2 linked regions of the Elephas maximus indicus genome follow. The protein of the gene in region 1 interacts with the protein of each later gene in a pairwise test. Links are inferred from orthologs where the notes say so. Each region holds a gene or a part of one and is shown in the gene's direction. Other genes may lie near its edges.

Region 1 (15,798 bases):
CACACAGTTGAATGCTTTTGCATAGTCAAAAAACCCAGGTAAACATCCTTTTGGTATTCTCTGCTTTCAGCCAGGATCCATCTGACATCAGCAATGATATCTCTAGTTCCATGTCCTCTTCTGAATCCGGCCTGAATATCTGGCAGTTCATGTTGATATACTGCTACAGCTGCTTTTGAATGATCTTCAGCAAAATTTTGCTTGCGAGTGATATTAATGATATTGTTCGATAATTTCTACATGCAGTTGGATCACCTTTCTCGGGAATAGGCATAAATATGGATCTCTTCCAGTCAGTTGGCCAGGTAGCTGTCTTCCAAATTTCTTGGCATAGATGAGTGAGCACTGCCAATGCTGCATCCATTCCTTGAAACATCTCAATTGATATTCCTTCAATTCCTGGAGCCTTGTTTTTCTCCAATGCCTTCAGAGCAGCTTGGACTCCTTCCTTCAGTCATTTTGGTTCCTGATCATATGCTACCTCTTGAAATGGTTGTATGTCAACTAATTCTTTTTGGTAATATGACTCTAAGTATTCCTTCCATTTTCTTTTTTTTTTTTTTCTTTTTGTTGGGTCATGAACTCTTAAAGTTAAAATGAAAGAGATGGACACTTGTAGGGAGCTTAACATTTACCCTAAGCCTCTGGTTCATACCTTTTTTTAAATCTCCAAGTAGAAAGTGTAAATTAATAAGAAACTATCGAATTTATGATACTTTGCTTATAAAGAGCTTAAATAAAAAGAAATGTGGGTATCTGTATTTGGGCATTTTGTAATTGACCAGGCAGTTCATTAAACCTAATGTACCCATATTTATTTTAGCCAAGAAAAATACACGTCAGGTCATACAAGAAAAAAATTTATATTCTCTTTATTATAGGTAGTAAAAAGGCAATATTATCTGAGGACTAATCCTCTGCAAAACTTCTGCATCTGACTTGGTTTTATAAACTTACTGTAGTGATTCATTTCTTCCCTTTCTCCAAACACCTGCCTAAAACCTACGTTCTTTCTCTCAACAAGCACGCTCTCCTACCAATGCACTCAGTAATTTCCAAATGACAGATCTGGCTAAATATTTTAAGTAACATAAAAACTATAAGAGTTAAAACTAGGTCCATTCTGATTACTTATAGATAGTTCACATATATTATCTCCAAGAAAAATACTGTTGTTGGTAGGTGCCGTTGAGTTGATTCCGGCTCGTAGTGACCCTATGTGACAGAGTAGAACTGCCCCGTGGGGTTTTCTAGGCTGTAATCTTTTTTTTTTTTTTTATAACTTTTATTAAGCTTCAAGTGAAAGTTTACAAATCCAATCAGTCTGTCACATGTAAGTTTACATACATCTCACTCCCTACTCCCACTTGCTCTCCCCCTCTTGAGTCAGCCCTTTCAGTCTCTCCTTTCTTGCCAATTTTGCCGGCTTCCCTCTCTCTCTATCCTCCCATCCCCCCTCCAGACAAGAGTTGCCAACACACTCTCAAGTGTCCACCTGATATAATTAGTTCACTCTTCATCAGCATCTCTCTCCCCGCTGCTGACCAGTCCCTTTCATGTCTGATGAGTTGTCTTCGGGGATGGTTCCTGTCCTGTGCCAACACCTTCCATTTTCTTTTGATGCTATTTTCTAGGGAAGAACATGCTGTAACCATCTGGTGGCCCCAAATTTGATCCTCTGATACCTCAAGTCACTAAGGCTGCAGCTTTCTATTTGAGTTCTAGCTTCCCTGTGCTGCACAGACTGAGGAATATCCTCAGGTAGAAAGCATATAAAAGTGGATTTCGCCCAGTAAGTTTCCCATCTTTCAAAGGTAGAGTTCCCTCCAGTTTTTGACCGGTTTTGTTTGCTCTCCAGAGCCTTCAAATATTGTTTTTTGTATTTTGTTCAAAGTTTATATTGTTAATGTTAGACTGATACAAGGTACTCCACTATTGCTGGAATGGGAAGCACTGTTTTTAAAAGCTACCAATTACTAAGGCAACCTGAACAAGAATATCTGACCCCTAATTGCACCTCCTAGCCCTGAGCTCTTACTGTAACTATTAGGAATCTACTCAAGCTGCATTTCCCAGTGACGTGCACATCTGTGTTTTTTTGGCTGCTCATTCTCTAAAATCCTTTCTTATTTTTGGAGAATTCTCCACCATATGTGTCCTCCCAGTACGGATGTCACAAATGCCAGCTACATAGTTTCTCAGTGTCCCTAATAGCAAGAGAAGGGTCATATGAACCTAGGCGGAGCCAATCAGATGCACTGGGGATATTGATTTAAGGGTGTAGGGCCAGCAAATAATCCATTTTGATGGCAGAGGCCATATCTAGTTTCTGGGGCAGCAGTGGGGTAAGGTTGGTGCTGGCAGTAGTGGGGGTGTGAGTTGTGTCCATTGTTCAGCAGAGGAGCTGCCCGAATATCTTGCCAATAAATTCGTTTTATGCTTAAGCCAGCCAGAACTGGTTTTTGCTGATTACAAATGAGAACCTTGAATTGTTCAGCTAACGATAAATACCAATGATTCCACCACAAGGAAATGGGGAATGGAATCTTGTTAGACAAACCTAAAACAGCCCGAAGCTGCCCAGTCTCTGAGCCTACTTCCTTAGGATATGGTTGCCATCTTTCTTCCCAGCCCCTCCCCCACCCTCTCTATGCTTTGGCCACAGATCGCTCTGAATTCCCCCAATGTGTCATGCCCTTTCCTTCCTCCCTGGCTTTACAGCTGTTATGTGTCCTCTCCCTGAAAGGCAGTTACCATCCTTCCTTAATCTGCTGACTTTGCCTCCTAATTGGTCTCTTCTCCTGCAACCACTCTGGCTTGGGTCCAATTCATTCTTCACACAACAGCCAGAGTGATCATCTCAAAACACGTGTCTGATCATGCTACTGCTCTGCTTAAAATCCTTCGAACACTCTTCATTGGTCTTCGGTAAAGATCATATTCCCTAGCATGACACTTCAGGCTCTGCATGGGCTCTTGCCTGCTTCCCAGCTTTACCGAGGAATATTTACAAGGGAGAATTCTGGGACTGGGTTGCTACGGATTGAAGTGGGCAAGGGAGGTGTCCAGGATGACATCCAGATTTGCGGTTGGGGCAGAGGTGGTGAAGGTCCTTAGTTTCTTATCTACTAACATCTCAAAGGGCTGTCAACCTCAAATCCTTTGTTGAACAAGGAGCTGAAAACTCATCCACTTACCCATCCACCCACCTATCCATCCACTCTTCAATCTGACATTCAACGACATGACCAGGTAAGCAGATGCTTTGGGTTTGAGCCCAATCTTTACCTTTCATTTACTATATCATTGGCCTAGGCCCTTTCCCTCTTAAAGCCTCTGCTTTCTCATATATGAAGCAGGAATAATACTTCATTTCTCTCTCTCTTTTTTTGGGTAAGGGATTATTATTAAGTGGTAAATTTCAGGCATATGTCTGGCCCAAGTTGAGACATAGTCGGAGATGACCAACTCCTATGGACCTCAGTAATAGAATCCTTTTGCCTTTTAGAAAAATCACTCTGGTGTTCAGCTAGAGGATGTATTAGAAATGGATTGAGATGGGAAGGAAGGAGTACTCCAGTCCTCACAACCTCACTTCCCATATGTGGGGATGTAGCCTGTGTGGACGCTGGAACAAACAGGCCCTGCCCCAAATCTCTGAGTCATTTGGATTCTCCACAGTCCACTGACAACGCCTCAGCAGGTGCTGTTGGCTCTGCCTCCAAATATATCTGAACTTCTTACTTCTTTTCATTTCTGTGCCACCATACTAGCCCAAACCACCACCCACTCTTTCTTGGCTACTACAATAATGTGGCGCCCTGTATCTGCTCTTGTCTCAATCCAAGTTGTATCCATTCAACAGCCAGAGTGACCTTTAAAATGTAAAGCAGATACTGTTACTCCTGCCTAAACCCTCCACTGGCTCCCTGACTCCTCACCCGCACCTATAAAGCATTACCTGATCTGACCCCCGCCAGCTTCTGGTCTACCACTCCTTCCTTCCCTGTTCACCCAAATCCAGCCACATAGTCCTTGTTCTTGCCCATTAGAAAGGCCAAGCTTTTGTACTTGCTGCTCCTTCTTCCTGGGAAGCTCTTCCCTTGACTCTTCACATCGCTGGTTCCTTACCTACAGGTTTTAGCCCAAATGTCATCTCCTTGAAGAGCCTTTCTGTAAGTACACTGGCCCCCAGGCACTCTATTTTATTACCATTTTATTTTCTTCATAATACTTATTACTGTCTTAAATCATGTTATTTATATTTATAGAGTTCTCCTCAATGTCACTATTTTTAAGTGTATATTAATTTTGATTTTACAGGTAATACCAGAATACATTCTCCATAGAGCCTGACATATTATCAGGAGGGATCAATCCCTGAAGACTGACATTATGCTCGGTAAAATAGAGGGCCAGCGAAAAAGAGGAAGACCCTCGATGAGATGGATTGACACAGTGGCTGCAACCATGGGCCCAAGCATAGCAATAATTGCCAGGATGGTGCAAGACCAGGCAGTGTTTTGTTCTGTTGTGCATAGGGTCACTATGAGTCAGAACAGGCTCAACAGCATCTAACAACAACAACAACAGAGCTTGACAGGTAAAGCAAAATACTCTTCTTACTCCTCTTCCCCCAGCTTAGATTCCTCATTGAAATGAAAGCCGCATTTGTCTTCTTGGCCACTGATTTTTAAGTTCCTAGAACCATGCTTAGCACATAGTGGGTCTTCAATAAACTGTTATTGAATGAAGAATAAATTGTGGGTTAAATTCTGGTCTACTATGTATTAGCTCCGTTTTGGGGAGGGCACAAGGAAGGGAGGTCCAAAGGAGGCTATGGACTCAAGCAAATTACTTAGCTTCTCTGAGCATCCATTCACTCATTTATAAAATGGGGAAAAGAATATTTATTTCACATAATTTTGAGCCTCAAGTAGTGCCAGACACACCATACACCCCCTCATGAAGTTTACAGGCTAGTGGAGATGTACTGGAAACCTTGACTGTTGACTCCATAGTCTGCCAATCTGTTCAATGTCCCTACAATGCTAGAGTCAGGCTTCTCAAACCGGCTGGAAAGAGCTGTTCTGGATTGGGTGTGGGGGCGGGGAGCCCAAAACCATCTGATGCATCTTCCTAGACTGTTTATTTTACTTGAACGTAATTAAAAATGTGATTTTTGTAGTAAAATGAACATAAGTATTTATTGAGTGGAATTAAGAATTTGCCTGACAAATGTATTGCATGCATTTTTATAACAATTAAAAAAAAAAAAAAAGTCAGGAAAAAAAGTCTGCCTGAATTTTTAAATAAAGTTCAAAGGTGCTTTAGCATCAGCATGGGGAGAGCCACTGGAGACCATGTGGTTTGGTCGAACCCACGCTTTAGAAGTGGGGAGCTTGGGGTGCAGAGAGTGGTAAGACCTGGCCTGTGCATCCTGTTAGGGTCCTCTCTGGCTCACCCAGTGAGTCTCTTGTCATCATAGGAGAACTATGGTCTGCTGTTCTCAAGATTCCTGACCCCTGCAGAAACAGCAGGGGCTTCCCCTTCTTTCTCTTTGGAAGGAGAATGGGGCCCAGAGGTCAAGGCCTGGAGGAGGGTTCTAGGCCTAAGTGCACACTCTCCTTGCACCTAGCATTGCCTGGAGCCTGGACCACCCTGCCTGCCCATCAGTTCACCCCTCCCAATCTAGACATAATTATGGTAATTATACTGGGATATCATTACCCAACTATATATAAAACCAGCATAGGTAACTGCTTCTGAGCATAATTACAGGAGATGTTTACAGACCCACAATCGCATCAGAGTAAATGATAGCTTCCTTTCCTCCCACTAATACGCCAATATTAGGGACCCATCAGGGCCAATTAGCCAAATCCCAGCAGAGCGGGGGTGGAAAAGACCTCACACTCTCCCACTACCTACAAATCAGGGTCTCAGCCAGCCATTTCCCTGGACACCAAGAAGTCTGGAGAGGGATGAGCCAACATTTACTGGGTACCTACCGTGTGCCAGGCCCTCAGGGGGAGTCCGGCAAACACAAGCAAATTTTTAAAATCTATGAACAATTCTGAGGGACAGTATTGGTATTCCCACTTTAAAGATTTGGAAGTTGGCACTGAGAGGCCTGTTGTCCAGGGTCACCAACAGCTGGTGGTGGAGCTGGACCAGAGCGCCTTCCACGATGCTACCGGGCCAGGCCAGCCTCCTGGCTCGCAGCCCCGAAGGTTCTTTGCTCCCTTCACATACTCCTTATCTCCTCCTCTCACAGCTTCCTCTTCCCGCTGCCCTGCTCGCCTCCCGCCCCCTTCCACCCTCATCAGTTCCCCAATATCGATGTTGTTTTCGCCTGCCCTCTCTGTCCCTTCTTCCTGCCTCTATTGGGTGGTTGGGTGTTATCTCTCAAGTAGGGGGTTGCATAGGGCGAGGGCCTTGCCAGGCATGCGGAGTCTCAAGCCAATTCCCTTCACCCCCGCCGGGGGGCGCCGCCAGGGGCTTGGCCCCGGGGTGCGCCGACCTTCGGCTTCCACCCACAAGCACACACAAAGGCTGTCTCCAGTGTGCGCGGGACAGCTCACTAGTACCCACGGCAGTGCGTACACACGCACAACTGCATGAAGACGTGCACACTCCTCCATCCACACAAATACACTCCCAAATAGGCCCGCGCACACCGCCGTGTCCACGCACTGCAAGGCGGCATATACTCTCGTGTGCACACACCGCACACATATACCCAAGCCGGCGTGTATCTTCACGCACACACACACGTACGCGCACACAGTTGGGCACGCACCCTTGTATACCGGCAAATGCAGACCTCGGGGCCCTGACGTGTATCGCTGCCCTGCCCTCGCGGCTCTCTGGGCGGTGCACGCGCGCGCGCGCGCGCGCACACACACACACGCACGCACTCACACACAGATACACACACGCACACACACACACACGGACAGACACACCCCGGTCGGCTCCACGCCCCTGGCCGCGGCCCGGGCTCTGCGCGGCGCGGCGCTGCTGGGCTGCAGGCGGGGACCTGGACGAGGGCGGGGGAGGAGGCGGTGGCCGGGCGAGCAGAGGAGGCGGAGCAGGCAGTCGGGAGCGGGCTGGCCCGCACTCCTCCTGCCGGCCGGGGATTTTCCAGCCGGTACGCTGAAGCCGTGGACCTCCCTGCCGCCGCCACGGACCATGGGCGACAAAGGGACACGGTGAGTGCTATCGGTGGCCTGGTCTGGCGCGCGGGGGGGGCGGCCTAGGCGATAGCAGAGGCGAAGGTTGTAGTCCGCGTCCTGGCGCTGCGTTTGCAGTCACTCCAGGACCGCTGACGCCTGAGTCCGCGGGACCCTGCTCACCTCTGCCAGGGGTCTCTTGTGTGGTCACTGGCAGGGGCCGCAGGCGGGGGTACCCAGAGGGTGAGGACCGGGCCGCCCCAGCTGCCTCGCGGCTCCTTACCGAAACACACACACACTCACTCACGCGCTGACACCCAGCCCTGGCCAGGCAGGCGCAGAGACGCATGGGGGCAGGTTGACACACAATGGCACACACTCATGTGGACACACGGGGCACACGCACTCATGGGCACACTCATGACAGCACACACAATGACATCCACTGTCACACACTTATCACATATAGTGACACACTGTCACACACTCCCAGATACACACTGTGGTATACATTTGGCAACACATTCATGCTGACAGTCATGCTGGCATAGGTGGGTACACACCTAAACATAGAAACATTAATACCTCATGCTGGCGCACAAACATTGGCCCTCAGTGACACACATGCACACTGTCACTTGCACTCACTGTAATACTTTTACTGGCACACGCGTTGTCACCCTCACTGACCAGACACACCTGTGCTAGCACAGATCTCACCAACACGGTGGAACGCAAGACCACACCAACACTGACCCACACAGACACACGTCAGACTGATGCCCACACAGACTGGCACCCCATAGGCACCAGCAAGCGACCACGGGGCTGCTGACACACTCCCTCCAGTCCCCACATGGTAAGAAATGGAAACACATATACATCACACAGGGTGGGGGCGCCTCGCCTGGAGCCTGGGAAAAACAGGTCCTATGGACTCTTTTCCTTTCCCTCTGACCTCCTGAGGCCTGGGGTGGCTGGCCAGGATCTGTTTTGAGCTAGAGATGGGGAGAGGGGCTCCTAGATAGGAGCCTGCCCTAGAAGATTAGACTAGGAACCAGAGAAGTTATGCATCTGAAACGGGAAACTGGGACAAAAGGGGCAGGGGCGGGGGCTGGGGCAAGGTAGCCCCTGGGAACAGCCCTGTGGGACCAAGACAAGCCCTGGTCTGGTATTCAGCTTTGTCACCCTGCTTCTATCTCTACCACTCTTTCCGCCCCCTTAGGTTCTGCTAGCAGTCTCTCCCTTGTCTCTTCCTCTTTCCTACCCCTTTTTGCTACTTGGACTTTTTCAATTGTCCCTTCTTTACCTTCTATCCCCGGTCCCACTTCTCCCCCCCTCCTCCCTCCCTCCATTCTCTTTCCCTCAGCCCTCCCTCCCTCTCTCTCCTTCTTTCCAGCAATTATTTATTGAGAGCCTACTGTGTACTAGGCACAGTGTGGGGTCAAAGACTTGCAAGATGCATTCCTTCCCGGAAGGAGCTAACGGACTAGAGAGAAACCGCACTAGTGGTCGTCACCTTCCGGACCACTGACAAAGCAGTTTCTTACCCACTGCCTTCTGAGATCTCAGTAGCAGGAGAAAGGTCCTACAGAAATTATTTCCATTTTCTGGAAGAAGAAACTGAGGCTCAGAGATAACTTATCCTTTTAGTGTTTAGAAACTGCTTCTCCACCATTCTCCTGACAGCTCTTCCAGGAGGTTAATTTTCCTTTTCCCGTTTTCCAAAAGATGAACTGGAGCATTAGAGAGGTCACCTGGCTTGCCTAAGGTCAAGAGGGGTCAGAGGCAGGGTAGAGGCTGGAACCCACCTGCTCTGTTTCTCTGTGGCTCCCTTTTGGGCATTGCCAAGCCCCTCATGGGCCCTGGGTTGGGGAGACAGGGTGGCGTACCTTGCTCTGTGTGTGGGGCCCAGGCTTATGGGGGAAGCTGCGAAAGGTCACAGAGCATCTGCATTCACCCTGACGGCTACTCTCCATCAAAGAAGGCCTGGCCAGCACTGTGTCCAGCTGTCTGTCCTCAGCAGGAGGGTGTGTGACTCCTGCGTTCTCCCTGCAGGACACAGTGGGGGCCAGGAGTCATAGCTCCTGTCCTGTGTTCCGCCAGTGCTGCTTCATGATCAGGGTGATTCAGCCCCTCTTGGGCCTTGGTTTGCCTCTTGGTGACTTGGGGAGAAGTGTCATTGCTCCCCTGCTGGCTTGTTGGCAGAATGCGTTCACCATGAGCAGTCAGGCCCCAATGGGCACCTGTTGGAGACCCTGTCTCTGGAGCCAGGGCTTTTTCCATCACTCCTCCACTGTGCCTCTAATTCGGTACAGAAACTCGGGGACCTTGGGCAATTGCCTTCAGCTTTCTGGACCTCAGTTTTCCCATCTGTAAATTGGAGCTGTGAATTGTGCTTATTGAGTTCACAGTGTGTGGATTCCTTGCGCTTACTGAATCCACTGGGAGGAAAGATGGCCCTGACTGAAGTCTAGAGCCAAGGCCTGGCTAAACTCCACCAGATGATCCTCCCTTCAGCCACCACCACAGTCCCAGGAGGCCTCTCTCTCCCTTTCCAGACAGGTAATCTGAGTAATTTGGTAGAAAAGGGCAAAATCAATAATGGGCCATGCCCTGCCTTGTTTCCTAAGCCTTAGGATTCTACTTGATGACTTAGAAGAGGAAACTGCCAATACCCAATACTCTAAGGATCAGGAGCCATCACGTGCATCCCTCTGCCTCAGATTGCACCCCCTGTATGAAAGTGACAATACAAATTAATCAGAAACTGCCACTGACCTCTAGGAACTCCCAGGACCAAGGGTGAAAGAGACAAAGACCTGAATGGGACTAATCCAGTGTAGCTATTATGATGATTGCTATAACAAGGTGCTCTGAAACCAATCATACATTCTTCCAACAAATGCTGACCGAGAGCCTTCTGAGTGCCAGGGCCTGGGGTTCAGAGATGACTGACTCCATCCGCCTACAAAGCAGGTGATTATGATGCAGGGTGACACGCACCATGGAAGGCCTAAGGATGAGTCCCCAACCCAGACCTGGGCAGCGGGCATGGTGAAGGGAGCTTTCCTGGGAAGGAGGTGGCCTTGGAGCTACTGAGTTCGTCTAGAAGGATAAGGGGGCCAGGGGGTAGGACTGGGGCCGTCACTCCTGGCTGAGGGTACAGATGTGTAGAGGCTTGGAGGCATGAAACAACAAGTGCAGCCTGGGGGCTGGGCTGGGGGTGGTGGATGGGCCTTAGGAGGTAAGCACAGGCCAGTCACCCGCTGCCCGGAATGTCAAAGTAAGGAGAGAGAATTTTCTCCTGAAGTCAGTGGTGATTCAGAGAAGAGTGTGAGGCAGGGGAGGGATAGGAGCAGATTTTTGGTTCAGAGAGATGCCTTTGGCAGCAGCATGGAGAGTAGATGGGAGGGGAAGGCTGGAAGCAGGGGACCAGTGAGGAGGGTGGGGAGGAACCTGAGAGAAGATGAGATCTGAACTAAGGCTCTGGGCAGGATGGAGCTGAGAAGAAATATTAAGAAGGTGGAATCTGTCAGTCTTGCTTGTTGACTGGACTTGTGGTGGGTCTCTGGTATGTGTCAGGAGATTTATATGCATAATCTCATTTGATTCTCCCAATGATCCAGTTAAAGTAGGGATTGTTGTTCCCATTTTACAGACAAGGGACAAACTAGGAGAGGCAAGATAACTTGCCCATTGTCATTCAGCCAGTGAGGGTTGAACCTAGGCCTGTCTGTCCACAAAACTATCTGCTGCTCCACACTTTTGTCCCAAAGGAGGGGAGCTTGTCTGGTTCACAGTTGGCCTACCACTGCACCCCTAGCCTCAAGTTGTACGTCCCTACTGGGATGTTTCCACCAACTCGATTGGTAGCATGAAGGATCAGATTTAGACAGCAGGAGGAACTTCCTGAGAGGCAATGGGATGGACTGGAATTTCCTTTCCTGCAGATGTTTATGAATTCTTCTTTTTTCTGGGAGAGGGGAAGAGTGCGGGTGTGATGGGAACATGTAATCACCAGCTCTCTGTGAACCTTGGCTGTCGTCTCTCTCGGTGGTTATGTCCAGTGTGACCCATCTGGGCTGCAATATGGGGAAGTCCTGTGGCTTTGGCCAGAGTTGCTCCTGGGGCTACTAGGAGCAGGAGCATTGAGCCTGGCCCACTGTATCTGATCCCCAATTCTGGCTGGCCTCTGCACTTCAGACTTCTCCATAGCCCTCTTTCTTCCAAGTTTGGGCCTCCTTGCCAAAGCCTTCCCACTAGCATGGGTTTTCAGGGATCCCAAGCCTTGGGCTTGCCAAGGTGAGCTGGTTACAGCTCACCTCAGGGCTGTGGTATTGGAGGAACAGGCTGGGTGGGAGTCATGGCCTCCTGGCCTCTACCAGGCCACCCTCTACTGATGCCAGAGTAACCATGCTGACTACCTCACTAGGGCCTACAGGGAGGGGCACGTTGGTGAGGGAGCTAGGGCAGCCAGCTTTAGGCTGTTGGGGAAGATACAGGGAGGCAGCTGGATAGATGGGTCTGGATCTCAGGATAGGAGTCAGGGTGGAAGACAGGGATTTGAGTCTTCAGGGTAGAGATGGCAGCTGGCTTCGGACAGTGGATGACATGGTACAGGAGAGCGTATAAAGTACATAAAGAAGATGGTCAGGGACAGTGGAGGCCTTGGATAGAGCAGATAAGATACAAAGGATTCCAATAGGAGGTAGAAAAGGAGCATCCAGAGAGGTAGGAGGCAATTGAGGGGAGGCTGTGTCCTGAGAGCAAAAAAGCAGGGAAGGACCAACAGTGGATGAGCTTGAGAAAGGCCCCTGTAATTTAGCCAGAAGGCAGTCACTGGTGACCTTGGTGAGAGGGATTTTGGTGAGGGTAGAGCCGGACTGCAACAGGCAGAGGAGGGGGAGAGGCGAAAGGACCCCCTTTCTTTTTTTATTGTGCTTTAGGTGAAAGTTTACAAATCAAGCCTGTCTCTCATACAAAAAGCCATACACACCCCACTGTGCACTCCCAGCTGCTCTCCCCTTAATGAGACAGCACATTCCTCCTCTCCACCCTGTACTCCCCGTGTCCATTCAACCAACTCCTGTCCCCCTCTTCCTTCTTATCTGGCCACCAGACAGGAGTCACCCGCATAGTCTCGTGTGTCTACTTGAGCCACGAAGTTCACTCCTCACCAGCATCGTTGTCTATCATATAGGACAGGACCCTGTTTTTCTGCATGCCTGGAGCTGGGGGTAGGCCTCTTGGAGGCAGGGTGTGCGGCCCTGGGCTGGGGGTGATGGGGATCTGGGAGGGGCCATCCCATCCACCCCCTCTTCTGCCTGTGGCCTGTGGCCTGAGGCAGAAGCCTGCTGCCTGCATTCCTCCTAGGCTCAGCACAAAAGACTCTAAAGGTAGTGGTGGGGGGGACGCACATCAGGGGCAGTGTGAGTTGGTCACAGGGCAAGGCGGTGCTGAGCTCTGAAAGGAGGGGCATCTAACCCTGGTTGGGGGCCTTGGGGAAGGCTTCCTGGGGGAGGTGAACCCTGAGCTGGATTCTGGAGCCTGAGGACAGCCTAGGTGGGCGAGGGTGTTCTGGACAGAAGGACGAGTGTCTGCACAGGTGCAGGTACTGGGTGCAGGTGCGGGAGTGTGAGGGGAGAGGCCGCTGAGGTATGTGCCGCCTTGGCAAGCAGGCCTTGGGGGCTGGAGTGGTGGAGCTCTCAAGGCGCTTTGTTCACACCCCAGGTGTCTGTGTTCCCCAATTGGTGAGCTCCTTGTGGTTCCAGCTATTTTTATTTCCTGTTGGTTGCTCCACTATCTCCCTCCTGGTCTGGTTTATAGGAGATGCCTGGCAGAGGCTTGTTGGGGTTTGGACTGAACTCTTTTTTCCCTTCTTGCCTCTGCTCTTAGCCCAAGGCCTCCCTAAGTGTGAAATTAGGTCTTTCTAAGGATGGAAGGAAGCCATGTTTCCCACCAGATGAAACATCATTAGACTGGGAGCTGGGGGGTGGGGTCAGGAGTCCTCCATCAGACTGGAAACTCCTGGGGGAGTTGTACATCTGAATGGGGCTTCTGGTGATGAGGTCTGTCTCTCCCCCATCAGCCTGAGGACTCCTAAGGGGGGATGTCTTCCACATCCGAGTGGAAGCTGATGGAAGAGGCTGTGTGTTTGCCATCAGGCTGGAATTTTTGAAGATGGGGACCATTTCTTCCCCATCAGACTGGGTGCCTCTGAGGATGAGGCCTATGTCTTCTCCATCAGACAAGCTCCTGTAGGTGGGAGCCATTCTCCCATATCAGAGTGGGGGTTTCCGAAGGTGAGGCCATGTCTCCTGCACAAGTCCTGGGATTAGAACAGGTATCATCTCTGTTGGTTCCTGGGCAGCCTCCCACCCTCCTTCTTGAGTGCAGGATGAGTCATGCCCCAGAGTTGGCTTGAGTCTTAGGAGGGGGGTGTAGAACAGAGGGTGGGCAGGACAGGGTAGCTGCTTTTGAGAGGGGAACAAAGGACTCTTGTCCCAGCGCCCTCTCTCCCTCCCCAAGAGGCCCTGGCTGGGTCATCTCTCAGGAGACGGGCCTCCTTCCTGGGACTGGCCCCATCTTTAGTCCCAATTCAGAGGGACTGCTTGTTCCTTCCTAAGAAAGCTCATGCCAGACAAGGGCCCTAGGAGGCCAGGTCCCAGGAACGGGACGAGACAGTTTCCTGGTGTTCTGTGTGACTGAGGTCACCACAGCAACTGAGCAACTTTTCCTCTGTCTCAGGCTGGGCCAGGCTGTGGGGTGAGACCACAACTGACCATAGGTCCCCCTACCGCTGGAGAGGGATATGTCTGCTGGTGTAAAGAGCCTCAAGTAAGTAGCATGCTATGGGCCAATGTCAGTCAGTAGGAGGCAAGTTCAACATCCAGGCTGTTCAGTGGCCTTGCAGGGTTCACCCAGAGGTCCAGAGACTATGTTGTTCAGGGCTCAGAGTGGGTGTGGGTCTAGGTGAGGCAGGAGTCCCTCTCATGCTGGCCCTGGGCCTCCAGCTGCACAGAGAGTCCTGTTGGTCCTTTAGCAGCTTCCCCACCTCCCCCAGCCTGTACAATCAGTGGACATGGACAAGTGTTGGCAAAGGACCAGAGGAGGGGGTGAGGAGTGGACCGCTGGACTACACCATCTCAGGAGGGTCCCAGAGGTATGTGCTCATGCTTACTCATTGCTGTGTGACCTTGGGCACAGAAATGACCCTCTCTGGGTCCTGGTGTCCCTCTGGAAGTCAAGTCCACCAGCATGTGTGAGGCCGTTCTCCCTGAGTCACCTGCCTTCTATGCTCTAGGAGGTTCTGGTGGGTTGGAGGATGACCTTTCTTCTGGGGGGGCCAGCAGTGGAGCGGGGCAGCTCAGGCACCTACTACAGACCAGTGGGACCAAGGCCGACTGTGGAGCAGTGGATGGGGGTGGGGTGGAAGTGCTGAAGGCTAGGAAGGGGTCAACTCCTGCTTGAAAGAGTGATGCTCTCTCCCATGGAATCAGGTTCTCGAGCCAGGAACACTCCACCTCTGGGATCTCATCTGCTGCCTCCTGCCCTTCCCGGAATGTCAAAGTATCTGTAGTAACTGAAAGGTCATTCGTGGTTTCATTTAACTCAGCTCAGGCTGTTCCCTCCATATGAACACCCTTCCCCCTCTTCCTTTCAAGATTCTGTTCAGGGATCACCTCCTCCAGGAAGCCTTCTCTGTGTCTCCAGTCTACATGGGGCCCCTCCTCTGCACTCCCATCACCCCCTGTGCTTCCTTTACTCTATCATCTGAGAAGCATAAATCAGAGGTTGATTCACCACCTAGTGGTTAGGATCCAGGAAGAACCTGATTTCGCAGTTTCAAACCCAACTCTGCCCCTTCCTAGCTAGGGGAAAATGATTATTTAAAAAAAAAAAAAAATTTTTTTTTTTTCTGCTGTACTTCCTTCATCTGTAAAATGTAGTGGTGATAGTGCCTGTGCCTAGGTTGTTGTAAGGATTAAATGAGTTAAAATATGTAAACCATGTGGACTAGCCCCTGGCACAGTGTTATGTGAGTGTTAGCTCTTAGGATGACCTCTTACTGGGTCTGCCCCGCTCACCAGACTGTGAAAGGCTATGCAACCAGGAGGGACACTGATGCATGTATGAGACCCCAAAGGGCTCCGCACAAGTCTGTCTTATCATTGGCCCTCATTATGTCGTCGGTTACCTGACCCTACACAATGCCCTTCCTGTTCTTCAAGGCATGGGTCACACATGGTTCCTTCCTCCAGGAAGCCCTCGTTGACGTGCAAGTGCTTTGTGACCTTTCTGCCATCATCTGTCCCTCTCGTGGCACTTATCCTTCCCTGCCTGCCTGGGTCCTGGTTATTTGTACAATTGTGATGTTCTCTGTATGATGCCAGGAACACCTCAAGGACACTTGGCCTTGGTCCACGTGTCCCCAGCACCTGTGCAGACCTGGCATGGCACTGAGCTCCATAAATATTTGCTAAGTGAAGGAAGCTGAATGTAGGTGTTTCCCTGGGAGAAGATATAGTTGAGGGGTGGACAGTGTAGCTGGTAAGGACCATGAGACATCGCTGCGGATTTCAAAATATCTAAAATGGTCCAGAGCCACAGGAATTAGATT
Region 2 (16,269 bases), on another chromosome or scaffold:
AACTGCAGCCACCTGCCATCTTGCAGTGGGTTGTGAGGCTCAGTGAGCTCATCTGTGAGGCAGCCCGGTGCTTGGGCTTTGCCAGCGTGAGGCATTGTGATTAACAGTGCGACGTGATGGTGGAGGAGTTTGAGGAGGTGATCGAGGACTGGTACAGGAACCACCAGGAGGAGGACCTGACAGAGTTCCTCTGTGCCAACCACGTGCTCAAGGGAAAGGACACCAGTGAGTCTGAGGGGAGGGAGAGGGTAGGCGAATGGTCCCAAAGGATTTTCTGGTTTGCTCCCCCCCTCAGGGAAGGTGGGTAGGGAGAGGATGGAAAGGGAATTGCGGATGTCACAGGGCACGGTGAGATAAGAGGCACCAGGTGCAGAACAGTGGATCACGCAGATGCCCCCAGGGGGCCTGGTGGACACAGTGAGGGAGGAGGTGGGTGCCAACTCCAGTTGCTCCCCAGTCAGTGCTTCTCACCCAGGAAGCCACTCCTGAGGTGCCTCTGTTGAGGAATCTTCCCTCCTCACTCCAGGTTGCCTGGCAGAGCAGTGGTCTGGCAAGAAGGGGGACACGGCTGCCCTGGGAAGGAAGAAGTCCAAGAAGAAGGGCAGCAAGGCCAAGGCCTCAGGTGGCAGGAGCAGCAGCAGCAAACAGAGGAAAGAGCTGGGTGACCTCGAGGGAGACTCCGGCCCTGAGGAGGAGGAGGGCATCCAGAAGGCATCCCCACTCACACATAGCCCCGCCGATGAGCTTTGAGCCTAACCCAGCATCCCCTGTACCAAGGGTGTAGCAAGAGACCCCTGACCTGGAAGCTAAAGAAGCTGGGGCAGGCTCTGGCAAGCAAAGGCGGCTTCTCCAGCCCCAGGGTCCTTCCTGCCTCAGCTGTGCCCTCTTCCCGCCAAGGAAAGCACAGCCCCAGGAAGAACTCAGAACAGTAGCGGTTAGCCTGAGCCGGTCTTATCCCTCAGCCAAGCATCTCTCCTGACATGGGCTTGACCAGGCCATGTGGTTTCAGGACTGCCAAGGACTCTGATGTAAACTCAGGAGGGGTGGGGGTCTGAGCTGGGCACCAGGACTGGAGCCCACAGGAGGCATGCCCAGCCTTCAGTCCCCATGCCTTACCCTACAGGGGAGCAAGACTGCAGCACCCATAGCTCCCCTTCCCTGCTAACCCTGCCCTGGGGACACCTTACGCTCTTCTGGCCCTCTTCCCTGGGGCTCACAGTACAGTGTGCAGAGTAAAAACCTCTTGGCCTTTTTTGTCCCGATTTCTGAGTCCTTTTCAACCCCTCAGGAGTGCCCTGGAGCCCCTTGTTGCTCCTTCCTGGCCCTCACCTTCTCTCAGCCGCCCCCATCCTCCCACTGGAGGCAGAACCTACCAGCTGTTGGGAACAGCAAACACAGGGAGGGCCCAGGGTTATTTTGGGGCCTGACCCTGTCCCTCAGCTGAACCTCATGCCCTGGGCACTTGCTTGCCCTCTTTCTCTTTGCTCCCTCCTCTCCTGCCTGTCCTTCCCCAGGGCCTTCCCATTTGTTGTGTAAAGTGTTTACTGGTTATCCCACTGGCTCCTGCCTCTCCCTCCCACCTCCACGTGGCCCTGCCTATTGGTCTTGGACCTTGTTCCTTGATGACCACACTTGAGCACTCTGCTCTTCCCAGCTGGAGTCTGAGGGGAGGACACCCCAGTTCCTCAGCAACACCTCTTGGTTACACTATGTTCCCTGGGGCCAGGGGAGGAACAAAAGGCTGGCCTGTGGGGAGAAGGGGTGGGAGGCTCAGGTCCCTCCCCTGTCAGTCCTGAGGTCAGGGATCAGGACAGTTGTGAGCAGTAGCGATGACAGTTGTATGTCTTCCCAGTGCTTCAATGTACTTGTGGTCTTAAGCCATTTTGTAGAAATTAAGGCTGAAGTCAAGTAAAGTGCCCAAAGTCCTACTACTTGGGGACAGTGGTACAAGCAGACATAGGTTTTCACCTTAGAAAGATCTATTGTATTTCCCACTACTTCACAGCTACCAGGGTCTCTTCCTAACATCTAGCACTGAAACTAATTCATTTTGAACTGGTTTGGTTTCTTGGGCCTAACTCACCACCTACCAACAAGGCTCTTTTAAAAGGAAAGTAGGAAGCAACTGTTGCTTCTTGGAAAGAATCAATGGCAAAGGCCCCGTGGAGCTGTGCCTTCACAGACAGAGGCCAAGACTGAGACTCCACCTCCCACTTTCCCTGTCTGGGCCCAGCAGGAAGGAGTTCTGCTGAAGACTCTCAGGGGTTTAGTAAAGAGGCTTTCAGGTCTCAGTTACTGTGGGTGAGGGGGCCTGCTTAGCCCCGCTTCCCCTTCCTCCAAGTTAAGGCAGTCTTGACCATGGAGATTGGAGCAAACTGGCTGTGGAGGCTTAAAACTAGGTCCTTGGAGGAAGATACTTTTTTCATCTAGACCCCCACCGCCTCATCTCCGGACCGATACTGTCCACTGTTAAAGATGCTGGTGGGCAGTGAGATCCAATCTAGAGCCAGGTCCCACCCCCCCCCCCGCCCCCGGACTTTGCTCTGAGCATAGGAGATGGCTGGGGTGGGGTGGGGGCTGGAACCCAGGGTGGGCAATCATTTGCAGCCCCTTGGACTGTCTAGGATTCGGTGGCCTGTCCCTGATACCCGCCATTCTGTCACTAACCCACAGCATTTCAGTGCCTGGTTTGCCTCTGTCCCTGGAGTTTCATTGATTCTGAATGTAAGGTAGAATGGGGCAAAGGCCTATCGCCTTTCCCAGGGTGTTGGCCGCATGGGCCAATCCTCAGGACAGGCAGCGCTGTCTTGCTTTGCTCTTTGACCTGTGGCTGCGGGATGACAAGCCCCCTCCCCCTCCTGAGGGCCAGGTGTGTTGTACACTCACTAGCTCTGCACCCAGCCCACCCCAGCAGAGGCAGAGGCAGGATCTGACTTCCCAGGGTTTTCTTTTCCTATTCCCACCATACATACAAGTCTTTTTTGAACTTGGCTAGTAAGTCCATTTTCCCACATTTCTTCCCTTCCATAAGGTGAGGGTACTGCCTGAGCCTGAGTTAATCTGATCTCAGTCCCCCTACTAAAACAGTTTCCTAAACTTGCCTGGACATGAGAGTCACCTGTTAAACATACAGACCTCTGGACCCACCTCAGTCCTGCTGGGTTGGAGACTCTGCATGCTTAACAGGCATCTCTGATGGTTCTGACATAGCCCGCTGGGACCCACTTCAGGCAACATTTGGCAGTGTAACCTGTTGCTGACAAGTTGATTTTGACTCATGGTGACACCATGTATGTCAGAGTAGAACCGTGCTCCATAGGGTTTTCAATGGTAGGTTTTTCTTCCAAGGCACCTCCGAGTAGACTCCAACCTCCAACCTTTCAGTTAGCAGCTGAGCACATGAACTATTTGTACCACCCATGGACTCCAGCATTTGTCAACCCCAGGTGTTGCCCTAAGATGGGGCTTTGATGAAGTCACACTGGGCCAGGGTCTTGTCCTCAGAAACCCAACTTCTCAGAACCCCAGATTGAATCCATCTTTGTAGGAGATTTCCATCAGCCAGACTCCCAAAGGCAGGTGGACAAAGCACAGGCCAGTTTATACCCGTTCAGTGCTTAAAAGAACCACAGGCAGGGATACAGTCAAGTCTCAAGGGCTAGGTTCTAGTATCAGCAGTGGCACCTCAGGGCCTGTGTGTGTGAATTTTAAAGGGCAGTGCCTAAAAGGCAGGCTTCACTCCTTATCCCAGTTGCTGGGTGGCGTTTCCATGCAGCGCCTTTGCACAAGTTAGAGAAAGATGCTCTTTACACATTTGACTTCCATCTGTTAGAAGGTTGTTTAAATATGTTTTGTTAGAATAAGACACTGTTTGCCAGAAGATTATAATTATATAATAATAAGTACACAAGCCTATAAAGTTGGCAATGTGAATGGAGCCCTTTAAATGTGGAGCCCTTAAATAAAAATGGTTAAAATGGGAGAAAAAAAAATGTGGAGCCCTTGCACAGTGTACAACCTGTCCCGATGTTTACAGCTGCCCTGCATCACTATAGTGCCCAAATAGAAACAAAATTTACTCTCTACCTCACCTAGATCTGATGGCATGTACTAAGTCACATGTTTCAATGAGCAATGTTTAACCTGTTGCCAGGGCCTGAATAGTATATCTTTTTTAATTGTGGCAAATATGTAGGTAGCAAAATAGTTGCCATTTCAACACTTCCCATGTACAGTTAAGTGACTTACGCTCATCATGCTGATCAACCATCACCATTTATCCGGAATTTTTCCATCACCCTTAATGATTAGTGTACCATTTTTATGTTGAAAAACAGTGAGCAGTCCCCTGGATACCAAAGAGAGATTAATGGTGGTTAAAAACCAAACCCGTTGCCCTCGAGTCGATTCCGACTCATAATGACCCTATAGGACAGAGTAAAACTGTCCCATATGGTTTCCAGGGAACGCCTGGTGGATTTGAACTGCTGTCCTTTAGGTTAGCAGCTGTAGTTCTTAACTACTACGCCACGAGGGTTTTATAATGGACGTTAAACGTTAGTACATCTTAAAACTGCTTTTAGCAACGTGTGACATGGTCAAAGAGAACCTGTCCTCATACATTGGTGAAATTCTCAGAGGTGCATGAAGTATAGTAGTAATGAAGGCACCATTACTAGTGTTACAACCCACTGATACAGGGAATCTATTTTACACTTAACCAGACTTAGATCAGATTGAGCCTTATATGGTACATAAAAAAGTGCCAAAACGCACCCACTGTGATAATTCTGCTGGCAGAGTCCATGCAGGGGGGCAGCTTCCCTTCCCTCCCCTCCCCCAGCATCCAGTGTTCAATCTGGGTTGACAGTGTCAGTGGAGAAGAGCTTTTTTCAGCAGCTTGGACTGAAGTTAGGTCCCTGTGTGAGGCAAACGCTTTGCACTTGACTGCTAACATAAAGGTTAAACTTCAAACCCACTCTGTAGCACCCCGGAAGAAAGGGCTTCTTCTGTAAAGGAGAGTTTTGCTCTGTAACACATAGGGTTGCCATAAGTTTGAATTCAGTGGCAACGAGTTTAGTTTTTTTTTTTTTATTTGGACCGAAGTTTGGAATGTGACATCCATCATCTGAAAATGAATATCTACCTGTTCTAAATAAAAAACATCCAAGATGTCTTTCATTTGTAGCTACTGCACATACATGAATCACAATTCAGGATTTTAATGTGTCCTCAGGGAGGAATTGCTTTGGAATTTGTCCAGGTGCAGCCATAGTCCCAAGCTAAAGTCTTTTTGCATACATATTAAATATTTGGAGATGAAGAATTTAGTCTTTTCAGCCAATTCCAAATAAGTTTTGCATATTTCAAATATCACCTATTTTTATTTTCAATTAAGTCAAACTAGATTGATTTCTATATTTGAATGTTCAAAACTTGGGGAATGATTAAGTCACAACGCATCCCCCTCAATGGACTGTTACATGGACATTAAAAAGGTGCTTAAGGCCAAGCAATTTATGGTCAAGAGAAGAAAATACACTTTTGATAGTTTAAAGAAAAAAAAATTGAAGAAAAACATGAAATTTCATGTAGACTATGATCTCAACATTTTGTTTATTTTTAAAATACATCTAGATGAGAAAGAAAATCATTAATTTGGGAACTAAAATCTTTGAAATAGAAGGTACTCACAATCCATAATTTTTTCAACCCTAACTTACCACCAGCATTCATATTATTTAAAAAATCGCATTATGGCCTTGGGGGTAAAAAACTATGTTTCTCAAAGTGTTAGGCATCAATACTTAAAACCAAACATTTAAGTCAGATTCCTTATCAGTATGGTGAGTGCATGGCTGCAGGCCAATCACAACATGCTGTACAAACATTAGGAAGTCTGAGGATTACTCCAAAATTTCAAACAGCTCTCAGCTTAAAAGGAAAAGACTGAAATAGTTTCTAGACATGGAAAATCTTGCCCTAGAGGGGGAAATCACATTACACCAAATTAAAAAGCAAGATGCTTAAATAGATGTTCTAGATGACCTTTTTTTTTTTTTTCCTTATCTAGATGAAACAAAATACTTTTTTTTTTGGAGCTAGTTTTATCAAAACCCTATGGGTTGGGACTAATGGACCACATCTACCACAGGCTCCACCAGACTGAGTCCAGTGCAACTAGGTGGTGCCTGGCTACCACCACTGACTGCTCTGACAGGGATCATAATAGAGGGTCCCGGACAGAGCTGGAGAAAAATGTAGAACAAAATTCTAACTCAGAAAAAAAGACCAGAACTTGCTAGCGTGACGCAGACTGGAGAAACCCTGAGAGTATGGCCCCCAGACACCCTTTCAGCTCCGTAATGAGGTCACTCCTGAGGTTCACCCTCCAGCCAAAGATTTAACAGACCCATGGAACAAAACAAGACTAAAGGGGCGCACCAGCCCTGGGAAAGGGACTGGAAGCCAGGAGGGAACAGGAAAGCTGGTAATGGGGAACCAAGGGTTGAGAAGGGAGAGCGTTGACATGTCATGGGGTTGTTAATCAGTGTCATGGAACAGTGTGTGTACTAACTGATGAGAAACTCGTTTGTTCTGTAAACTATCTAAAATACAATAAAAAAAAAATACAAAAGCTATGGAGCGCAGTTCTGCTCTGACACACACAGGGTTGTCATGTGTTGGAATCAACTCTGTCACCTGGTTGGTAGTTTTATCAAAGAGTTTCTAAATTGGATCTTCTTTGGCAATTTCCAGGTGAAAGAGTGGACAGAGATGTCTGCTACAAACAATGCTCTTCTCCCAGGCTTCATTAGTTATATGAATATCCCAAGGAGAAATGTCACAGGAATACTTGCCCGTAAATATTTAGACCCAAAGAACCTGGTAAACCTTAACAACCTGTTGATGAGATGATCCTGGTCATTCTAAAGGTGACATTTCTCAACAGCTTTTGAGCCCTGAGAAAATCCCAGGTTTACCTCAAATGCATTAGAAGGGTAAAAGAGTGACCCTCCTGCCTATTTCGGCATTCCTTTCCCAGACAAAGCAAATGGAAGAGAAAACAGTATGAGAAAAAATAATGATGAATTGCCCTAGGCTACTTATACTTAGTTAGCTTTTCAAATATTTTATATTCAGCCAATCCATATGTGGACAGTGATAAATTATTTCTCTTGTCATTTTGGTTGTTATTCCTATTTAACGTCATTACTCATTTTTCCCTGAGTGGACTTACAGAACTCCAGTGAGATGAAATTAAATATTTTTTTTCTTTTAATTTTAGGCCTGTTTTTCCTTAAAATTTCATTTCTTATGATATGACAAAATTGTTAGCAGATTTTAATGCTGAACTCGTCCATTTACAGCCAGATAATCAATTACTTTTCTCCTGATTTAGGGCAAAATAAATGTGAAGCTTTTTTTAAGTAAAGAATGAATTTTCCTACCCAAGGAAGGCACTGATTTTCTTGGATAGGCCTCATACTTAAAAAAAAAAAAGCCAGCCACTCAACTGCTTTGATTTGAGGTCATAGCACACAGATTGCTGCCCACAACTGAGAGAATAATTCTTTTAACATGAGTTTTTTTTTTTTAAGCCTGGGGGTGATGAGGCGGACTTCCCCCAGAATATTCTGCTAAGAGAGTAACTGAGTTTACTTGCACATCCCTACTACAATGCCTTTCTTAGCCTGTTGCCAAAGACCTGGGTCAGCGTGAGCACAAGGCTCCTTGACTTGAACATGGATAGACCTGTTTGAGGCAGTTCACATAAAATAGAAAGTTCAGAATGATTTTGGGGGTTCATCCAGCTCCGAGATTCTACGGAGGCTAAGGTGGTTAGGGGAAGGAGCCTCCTTTGCTCTAAATTCCGTAACTCTTTCTGCAGCCAGAAGAACAAAGTCAGGTAGGGAGGGCTGTTCTCCATGTCTCAGGCTTTGCTGGGTGGCATCGTCTTAGGGAATCCACATCAGCCCAGGATCTTGTCCTCCGAAGAGAAGCCTACTGCTCTGGGGAGGAAGGGTGGGCTTACTGTAACCAAACCAAAGGACCAATATATCGCTCTGGCAAGAAGCGATAAAATAGCAAGAGCTCCAATCACCCTCACCCCTGACTCCACACTTCCCTCCCTGCGGGCACCTCCGTGAAAAGCCGATGGTCTTTTTAAGGGCGATAGGAGGGGGAAGAATAGGAAGGAAGCCACCAGACTCCAGCATAGGTGGCTCAGGGAAAAGCTTAATGCGTCACCTACACCACAAAGGCACACTGGCCTCCAAGGGGGCGGGACTATTCCTTGGGCCAGGGCTCTCTTTTCCTGGACTTGGATGGACAGACTTCCTATTTTCTCCCTTTCCTAGGCCCTTTCCACTGGGCAGTCTTTCCTTAGACATGCTGATACTTCCTTCGCTGGGGACGGTCCCCACCTGCCCCCCTGGGCGCTCAGCTCTGTAAATTTTGAAGTTGGAAATTTCTTTCCCTTTCTATCCAGCATGGGTGCAGATGGAGTGAGCAATCTCACTGGTCCCCTCTCCCAGACCCTCCCCTGTCCTCCTGGCGACCACGTTAAGTGGGAAGAGGGCTGGGACTGCAGGAGGGTCATTTCCCGCTGTGGGAGTGACCAGAGGGTTGGGTCCTCAGCCTGACAATAAGGGCCGGGTCAAGGATTCGAGGCTGCACCCTCTTCACCGCCTGGCAGCCGACGCCGGGGCCAGAGCCCAGCAGGGGCGTATCCCGAGCTCACCTGCCATTGGCAGGTGGGGTCGCCCGGCCCCGGCAGCGGCAGCGGCCACGCACGCTATAAGTGCGAGCGAGTGGTTGCCGCACTCGGCGTGGCGCAGGATGGTGGACAGCGTGTACCGGACCCGATCCCTGGGGGTGGCGGCTGAGGGGCTCCCGGACCAGTACGCGGACGGGGAGGCCGCGCGCGTGTGGCAGCTCTACATCGGGGACACCCGCAGCCGCACGGCCGAGTACAAGGCCTGGCTGCTCGGGCTGCTGCGCCAGCACGGCTGCCAGCGGGTGCTGGACGTGGCCTGCGGCACGGGGTGAGCCCGGCGGGCTGGTGGGGGGCGCGGCGGGGCGGCTCGGACCACCGCCGGGCACGTCCGGGCAGCTCCCCCTCTGTCCCGGCAGAACGGGCACGAAGAGGACACGGGGGGAGGCCGACCATAGAGGGGCGAGAAGAGAGGGCTTGAGTGAGGGTGCGGGCGCAACGGTGGGCCGGGCGGGAGGGCTCCCGGGGCGGTGGAAAAGCCCCAACCGACGACGCCAAGTTCAATCCTGGCTCCTGCGTTGTTCCTTGAGCGTTGGTTGGCCTTGGGCAATGTTATCAAATAACATTTGTTCATCGTTGGCCAGTGCCAAGTGCTGTCCCGGAGCTTTTGACACATCAGTTTTTAAAATCTCGCAAAACCCTATGAGGTAAGCAGTGAACTCCCCATTTACAGTTGGGCACATTAAGTCTCAGAGAAGCAAGGACCCCCATGTAGTGGAGAGGTGAAGGGTAGTGAGGTTGGTTAGGGTCTGGCTGGCGTGTGCATACTAAACTGCCTCCTCCTGTGCCCAAGTTAATTTCCCCTAGCCTCAGCTTGCCCATCTCTAAAATGGAGACACCACCTCACAGGGTTGCACATTTGTTGAGTGCCTGGATCTGAATAGGTGATAAAGAAAAAGTTGCTACGTGGTGATAAGCAGATTTGTGAGCTCATCTGAGGTCGGCAGAGAAGGCCCAGGAAAAGGAAGCAGAAGAATGGACTCTGATGGGTTGAGGAAGCAGAGATGTCCAGCACAGGGATTCCTCCTTGTCCTCCCAGCCCCCCTGACTGCCCCTTTTTGCCACTCATCCCCGGCTCTGCCCAGGGTGGACTCCATCATGCTGGTGGAAGAGGGCTTCAGCGTGACCAGCGTGGATGCCAGTGACAGGATGCTGAAATATGCACTTAAAGAGCGCTGGGACCGGCGGCACGAGCCTGGCTTCGACGAGTGGGGTATGCCGGGTCAGCCAAGCCCTCCCCAGCCCAGCTATCAGGGACATTGTTCTCTCTGCCCTGGGCTCCTTTAGTCCATGGATGGGGTGTCCCACCCCCAGGGGGACAGTAAGATCAGAAGAAAAATTACTGTCACTTGCCAGATAAGGGAGGGTTAGGCATTAGAAGAAGGACAAGGCGTGAAGAGCTACCTTAACTGTGTTTATTGTGTCCTTTACCTCCCCCCATGAATGAAAACCCATAAGCACGGAGTCCTCTTTCCCAACTATGCCCTCCTCCTCCCCTGGCCTCTCTTCCTGCTCACCCTCCATGTACATAATGATCCCCTCCCCCTAACAGAATGGGGAGTGCCTGTTTTGAAGAGGAAACAGAGGCAAGACTGCATTTGTTGGAGGTGGGTGCTACTGGTACCATGTAAACTGTGTTACTCTGGTTCTTCTTCACCTTTTTGGCTCCCAGTTATTGAAGAAGCTAACTGGATGACTCTAGACAAAGATGTGCCCCAGCCACCAGGGGGTGGCTTCGATGCTGTCATTTGCCTTGGAAACAGTTTTGCCCACTTGCCAGACTGCAAAGGTGAGAGAGGGTGTGGCCTTGGGCATGGTCCTTGCCCTGAGCTATATCCCTTTCTATAGATCCCTGCCCTGGGTGCCTGCTTTCCTGTAAAGTGGATTCTTTGCTTTGCCCTTCTCTGCCTTGGCACTGGTACCCCTGGGGAGGGAGAGGGAGAGATGGGAGGGAGATGGGTGCTGGAGGGTCCTGAGCAGACGGAGCCTCCCTGCCCCTGCCTGGAGCTCAGGGGACCAGAGCGAGCACCAGCTGGCACTGAAGAACATTGCAAGCATGGTGCGGTTGGGGGGCCTGTTGGTCATTGACCACCGCAACTACGACCACATCCTCAGCACAGGCTGTGCACCCCCAGGGAAGAACATCTACTATAAGGTGGGTCTCACTGGGGGAGGAAGGCTCAGAGTGGGAGGTGTGATCCAGGGGCCCCACCGTGGGCTGCAGAGGCTAATACTGTCTGTACCATGGCCTGCAGAGTGACCTGACCAAGGACATCACGACATCGGTGCTGACAGTGAACAACAAAGTCCACATGGTGACCCTGGACTACACAGTGCAGGTGCCTGGGGCCAGCCAGGCTGGGTCTCCTGGCATGAGGTACCCACAGGGCTAGGCAGGGGTGTGAGGGGGGGGGATAGCTGGGCCACCTGCCCTCAAGGTCTCCTGGGGCTCTGTTGCAGTAAGTTCCGGCTCTCCTACTACCCACACTGCCTGGCACCCTTCACAGAGCTGCTCCAAGCAGCCTTCGGGGGCAAGTGCCAGCACAGCATCCTGGGTGACTTCAAGCCTTACAAGCCGGGCCAGGCCTATGTTCCCTGCTACTTCATCCACGTGCTCAAGAAGACAGACTGAGTGCAGCCGCAGCTTCCACAGCCCTGAGCCCAGGCACTGCCGGGCTGTCTGGGACGTGGGCACAGACAGCAGGGCAGATACCGGGGGTGTGGGGAGGGGCCAACTACAGGTGGGCATAAAGATTTGAATTCAGGCAAACGGAAGGGCTAAGAATAGAATCTGTGCCTTTTTCAGTTCCCATATGCCTTGTGTTTATGTCAGAAGGATCAGGCTCCTATGGTACCCACCCCTGCACGCCTGCCCCTAGGGTTTACTTCTCTCACCACATGGCTCTGTGCCTTATGAATCTTTCACCAAATGACACCAGCAGAGGGCAGCATATACTTTATTTTCAGCCTCGGATCTGGCCAATCCCCAGAACCCCAGGCACTGGCCCCTCCTCCTGAGCAGATTGACCTCATGGAGCTGGCCTGGGAGGAGGGACAGGTAGACAGGGCATGCCTCTTGAGCTCTTCCTGGTACTCCCAATGCCACTCTACCCTAGGGGAGCTCCTGGAAGTAGGCAGCCTTCAGGTGGGTGGGAAATAGCCTGAGAAGAGCCTCTTCCTTCCTCTCAGGTCTCTGTGGGGATACTGAAGCACCTTTAGCCATTGTGGGTGGGTCCCGGGCCACAGGAGGCTCCTAGCAGGCGGCAAACTTGCGCTGGATGCGCTTGTACCGGAGCAGCTCCTGCTCGCTGATGGAGGGTTGCAGCCGGGCGGCAGCCTGCAGTAGGTCCTCCATAGTGAGCTGCAGTGCTGGGTTCCCCAGCTCCAGCCCTGGGAAGTGACAAGGGCCAGTCAAGGCCAGAGTCCCCATGCCAGCTGGGGAACAGATCTATGCCCAGGCAGGGAGAGTCCTGGTGGAGGCACCTTCCTGTCCAGAATCCCCCAGATGTAAACGGTCCCTCCTCTGCAATCCAGAACCAGGCCTGCCTTCCACCTGCTTTTTGGCTGACTTCTGGGGCTGGCGAGTGGCTCACCTTCCTCCAAGTCCCGAACCCTGCGTTTGAGGGCAGTTGTCATAGCGTCAGAGCAGAGGGAGTAGAGGTCAGCGCCCGTCAGCTGGGGAGGGCAGTGATCCAGCACCCTCACCAGGCTCACAGTGGGTTCCAGCTTGAATCTGTGGAGGGGAGACAGGAGACAGCATTATCGCTGGCATCGCCTACTCCTTCAAAAGCTCGCCAGCTAGTCTATCCCAAGGCCCGAACCCTTTGGAAATCTTCTAACAGGGCATACTTGCGTGTGATGGCGCTCAGAACCCGCAGCTGGGAGGCCCTGTCCTCGCTCGCGCCCACAAACACCAGCTTGTCAAATCTTTAGGGAGACAGGTAGAGAAGGTCAAGTTCCTCCTCCCTCAGGAGCCTAGGCTGGCATCTGCACCAGGGAACCCCACCATGAGGGGTGGAGGAGATACAGGGTGGGGGTTGAGGGACAGGCCCAAATGGGGGTGGCCTGGTGGACGTGAGAGGTATGGGGTACCCACCTGCCAGGCCTCAGCAGGGCAGGGTCCAGGAGGTCTGGCCTGTTGGTGGCTCCGATCACAAACACATCCTGAGTGCTGTGAAGCCCATCCAGCTCGGCCAGGAGCTGAGACACCACCCTGGAAAGGAGGAAGAGAAGGCTGGAGAGCCCTTGGTCCTGTGTGCCTCTTGTTACCAGTTTTCTCAACAGGGCCTTTTGTTCAGTCATGCCCTGCACATCCCTCCATGCAGGCCCCCATTCTCCCTCATGTCCCACACCCAACAACAATGCCCTGCTTTTAGCCTCCGCTATACTATCTGAGGAAATCCTGGTGGTGTAGTGGTTAAGCGCTACGGCTGCTAATCAAAAGGTCATTCGAATCCAGCAGGCACTCCTTGGAAACCCTACGGGACAGTTCTACTCTGTTCTATAGGGTCACTATGAGTCAGAATCGGCTCGATGGCAAGGAGTTTCGTTTTTTTTTTTACAGTATCTGAGAACCAGAAGGACAGGAACTTGTATCTTTGGGCTCTGGTCCAGAGTTGGCTGTGACCTGTCTCCCATCCCTCCCATTCTAGACCCCAGATCCCATTCCTGCTCAGACCCCACCTGTCCATCACTCCTCCAGAGTCTCCACTTCGCCCCCGACTTGGGGCCAAGGAGTCCAGTTCATCAAAGAAGATGACACATGGAGCTGCAGCCCTGGCCCTGGCAAACACTGAGGGGAGAGAGAAGGCCCATGGGAGGGGGAAGTTCACGGGGGTGGGGCTTGAAGCCAGGGCAAAGAAGGAAGGAAACTGAGGTTTGACCATTCATCCCCAGCACTCCAGGTACTAGACTCTGCTGGGCAGGAACCCAACTTGTGGAATGGCGGACTAGAAACCACCATGAGCAGCCTGGGGAAGTGGGGCAGGGAAGCAACACAGGACTACCAGGGTTTGCTTGCTCACCTTCCCGCACGTTCTCCTCACTTTGGCCCACGTACATGTTGATGAGTTCTGGTCCCTTCACGCTGAATGAGAGGATGTGAGAGGTGAGACTTGCCAGATGCAGACACATACAATCGCCCTCTCGGGCCACCCCTCCCAGCCTGCTACAGCCCCCAGCCCACCCAGCATCCCTTCTAGGCCCCTGGCCACCTGAGGAAGGTAAGGCTGCACTCAGTGGCCACGGCCTTGGCCAGAAGGGTTTTGCCAGTGCCAGGGGGCCCATGCAGCAGGAGGCCTGAGCGCCTGAGGCCCAGGCTCAGCAGCTCAGGGTGCTCCAGAGGGAGCTGGATGGTCTCCAGGATCTCCTTCTTCACCTCCTGCAGCCCGCCCACATCGTGCCAGGACACCGAGGGGATCTAGGAGACGGAGGGTGCATGGCTGGGGATATTCTGGAGGAGGAGCTCCTGCCCCACCTCCAAGGGCCTGGAGTCTACCTTGGGGGCGCCCACAGCTTGGGAGTGTGCTGCCTGCAGCTGCTCCAGCGCCTGCCCGAAGTCCTCTGCCAGGAGGGGGAAGCCAGCTACACACAGCTCCCCCTCATCCTCCTCACTCCAGCCACCTGCCAAACTGCAAAGAGAAACTCAGGAAGCCTCTGAAAGACCTCACCTAAGGCCTCCTCCCCACCAGGGTCCTGTTCCCTTCTCCCTTCCTCGCCAGGCCCCAGCCCATATTTCCTCTTGCCTCCTTCCCCACCCTGTGCCAGAGTTTCCTTACCCTGAGTTCTTGATCCTGGTGCAGGCTGCACGGCTGCTATGGGTCAGAAGGGCATAGAGATCCCCCACCACAAAGCCCTGGGGAACCAGAGGAAAGGGCAGATGAGCAGGGTACAGTAGGTGGGAACCTTTGGGGGATGTGGAAGTGGTCCCCCTGTCAGCAGCAGAGGCCCAGCGTGGATGCAGTAGGGTTTTCTACCCCTCCGCTTGCGGGGTGGCAGGACTGAGTTCCTGGGACAAGGAACACAGGGAGGCCCAGCACCCTGCATGGTACTCACGGCACACCGCCGTGCCAGCTGGGCCAGGTTCACCTCTTGGCCCAGGGGCAGGTGGGCAGTGAGAGCCTGCAGGATGCTGAGCCGCTGCCCCTCTGTCAGCACAGGCACCTCCAGCTCGTGTGGGAATGCTGTCTGCACATCAGCAGGCAGGTCCCGGGCCCGGCTTGTGGTGGCCACAACCATCAGGGGAGGGCAGCTACACAGAAGGCAAATGGGCGCTGAAGGCAAGACCGTGGCTGGCAGCTCCTGAGCACTGCCTCATCCTGAGGCTGGTGCAGAGGGTGAGGGTGTTGAGGTGGGTGCCAGGATGGGACAGAGATGAGCACCCCAAAGGTTCTTGGATGAGGGTCCATGGGAAAACCTTGAGAGGGGAACCTTTCTCCCCCATCACATGAAGGGCTCACTTTTCTTCAAGCCAGTGTTTCCCAGGGGTGGGACCACATCTTGCTCCCTCTGGACACGCTAAGGCCTTCACACAGGTCTGCCTAGAGGGCAGCCAAATGGGCGTAGATGTCCGAGAAGTCATTGAGGGGCCACAGGGAATAAAGGACCAAAAAGGCTGAAGAGAAGTCAGAGAGCTGGGCGTTGCCCTGCTAACAGGCCCAGCTCTATATAAATACCTGGTGAGTGGGTCCTCATCGAGGAGGAGGTGACGCAGCGTGGCCACCACACGGGCATCCTCACCTAGCCCCTCGCGGTCCCGGCCCAGAAGGTCCAGAGCTGTCAGCAGCAGCACCGCCGGCCGGCAGCGCCGGGCCCGGGAAAAGGTGGCCTGCAGTTTGGTCTCCACAGCCCCGCTGCTGTCTGCACAGAGGCTGGAGCAGGGTACCTGGGAGAGGAGCCCAATGGGCCTGTGAGCATGTGAGCAAGGGGGAGCTGTGACTGGGCAGGGAGAGGGGACAATGAGTCAGAAGATGCAGGCCGTCTTTTTTTTTTGGCAGGCAGGGATTAAGAGGGTAACACAGCCAAAGTCCCACCTCTTCCTTACCCATTCCCTAGTGCTATTTCCTGGATTCTGAACTGTCACCCAAAATCTTAAAACCCCTTCTCTCATGAAAGCACTTCTCAGTAGCTGAGCATCACGGGAATATGCCTGACTCACTTGACTGAGGTGCTAGGGCCTGGCTAGTAGGCCAAAACATAGAAAGACAGACAGACTGCATCTGAGAGGGAAAGTAGTTGGCTCTACTCTTCAGGTACTCTCACCTTCAGTAAGTGCAGCCCAAGGCGGTTGCAGGCAGCAGTAACTGCTGTGGTCTTCCCACTGCCCGGGGGGCCCCGTAGAAGGACACTGCTCGCTCCTGTCAGCAGAGCACCCCTGCAACCAGAGAAGAGACCCCATCTCCTCTACCAGCCCAAATCTTGGCATCCCCAGTAACATGGGGACCCTTGGATTTAGAAAGCACACACCCTGTTTCTCTCTCCCGAGCCACCCCATG

Evidence for each region.
Region 2: the proteins of ARRB1 (region 1) and GNMT interact in binary tests that used the Homo sapiens proteins (3 or more experiments, as listed by UniProt). The link is inferred for Elephas maximus indicus from reciprocal best matches to the Homo sapiens genes ARRB1 and GNMT.

What each region holds. Positions count from the first base shown.
Region 1 is NC_064825.1:47,150,266-47,166,063, forward strand, and holds the start of ARRB1 (beta-arrestin-1), read left to right. Parts: upstream 1-6,967; 5' UTR 6,968-7,194; coding exon 7,195-7,214; intron 7,215-15,798. UniProt on the Homo sapiens protein: Functions in regulating agonist-mediated G-protein coupled receptor (GPCR) signaling by mediating both receptor desensitization and resensitization processes.
Region 2 is NC_064819.1:107,373,924-107,390,192, forward strand, and holds GNMT (glycine N-methyltransferase), read left to right. Parts: upstream 1-8,533; 5' UTR 8,534-8,841; coding exon 8,842-9,047; intron 9,048-9,861; coding exon 9,862-9,989; intron 9,990-10,448; coding exon 10,449-10,565; intron 10,566-10,788; coding exon 10,789-10,931; intron 10,932-11,031; coding exon 11,032-11,153; intron 11,154-11,236; coding exon 11,237-11,408; 3' UTR 11,409-11,613; downstream 11,614-16,269. Other genes in the region: CNPY3 (protein canopy homolog 3), read left to right, coding at 108-225, 527-750; PEX6 (peroxisome biogenesis factor 6), read right to left, coding at 12,030-12,166, 12,370-12,509, 12,626-12,703, 12,873-12,989, 13,460-13,568, 13,801-13,862, 13,990-14,195, 14,274-14,406 and 4 more. UniProt on the Homo sapiens protein: Catalyzes the methylation of glycine by using S-adenosylmethionine (AdoMet) to form N-methylglycine (sarcosine) with the concomitant production of S-adenosylhomocysteine (AdoHcy), a reaction regulated by the binding of 5-methyltetrahydrofolate.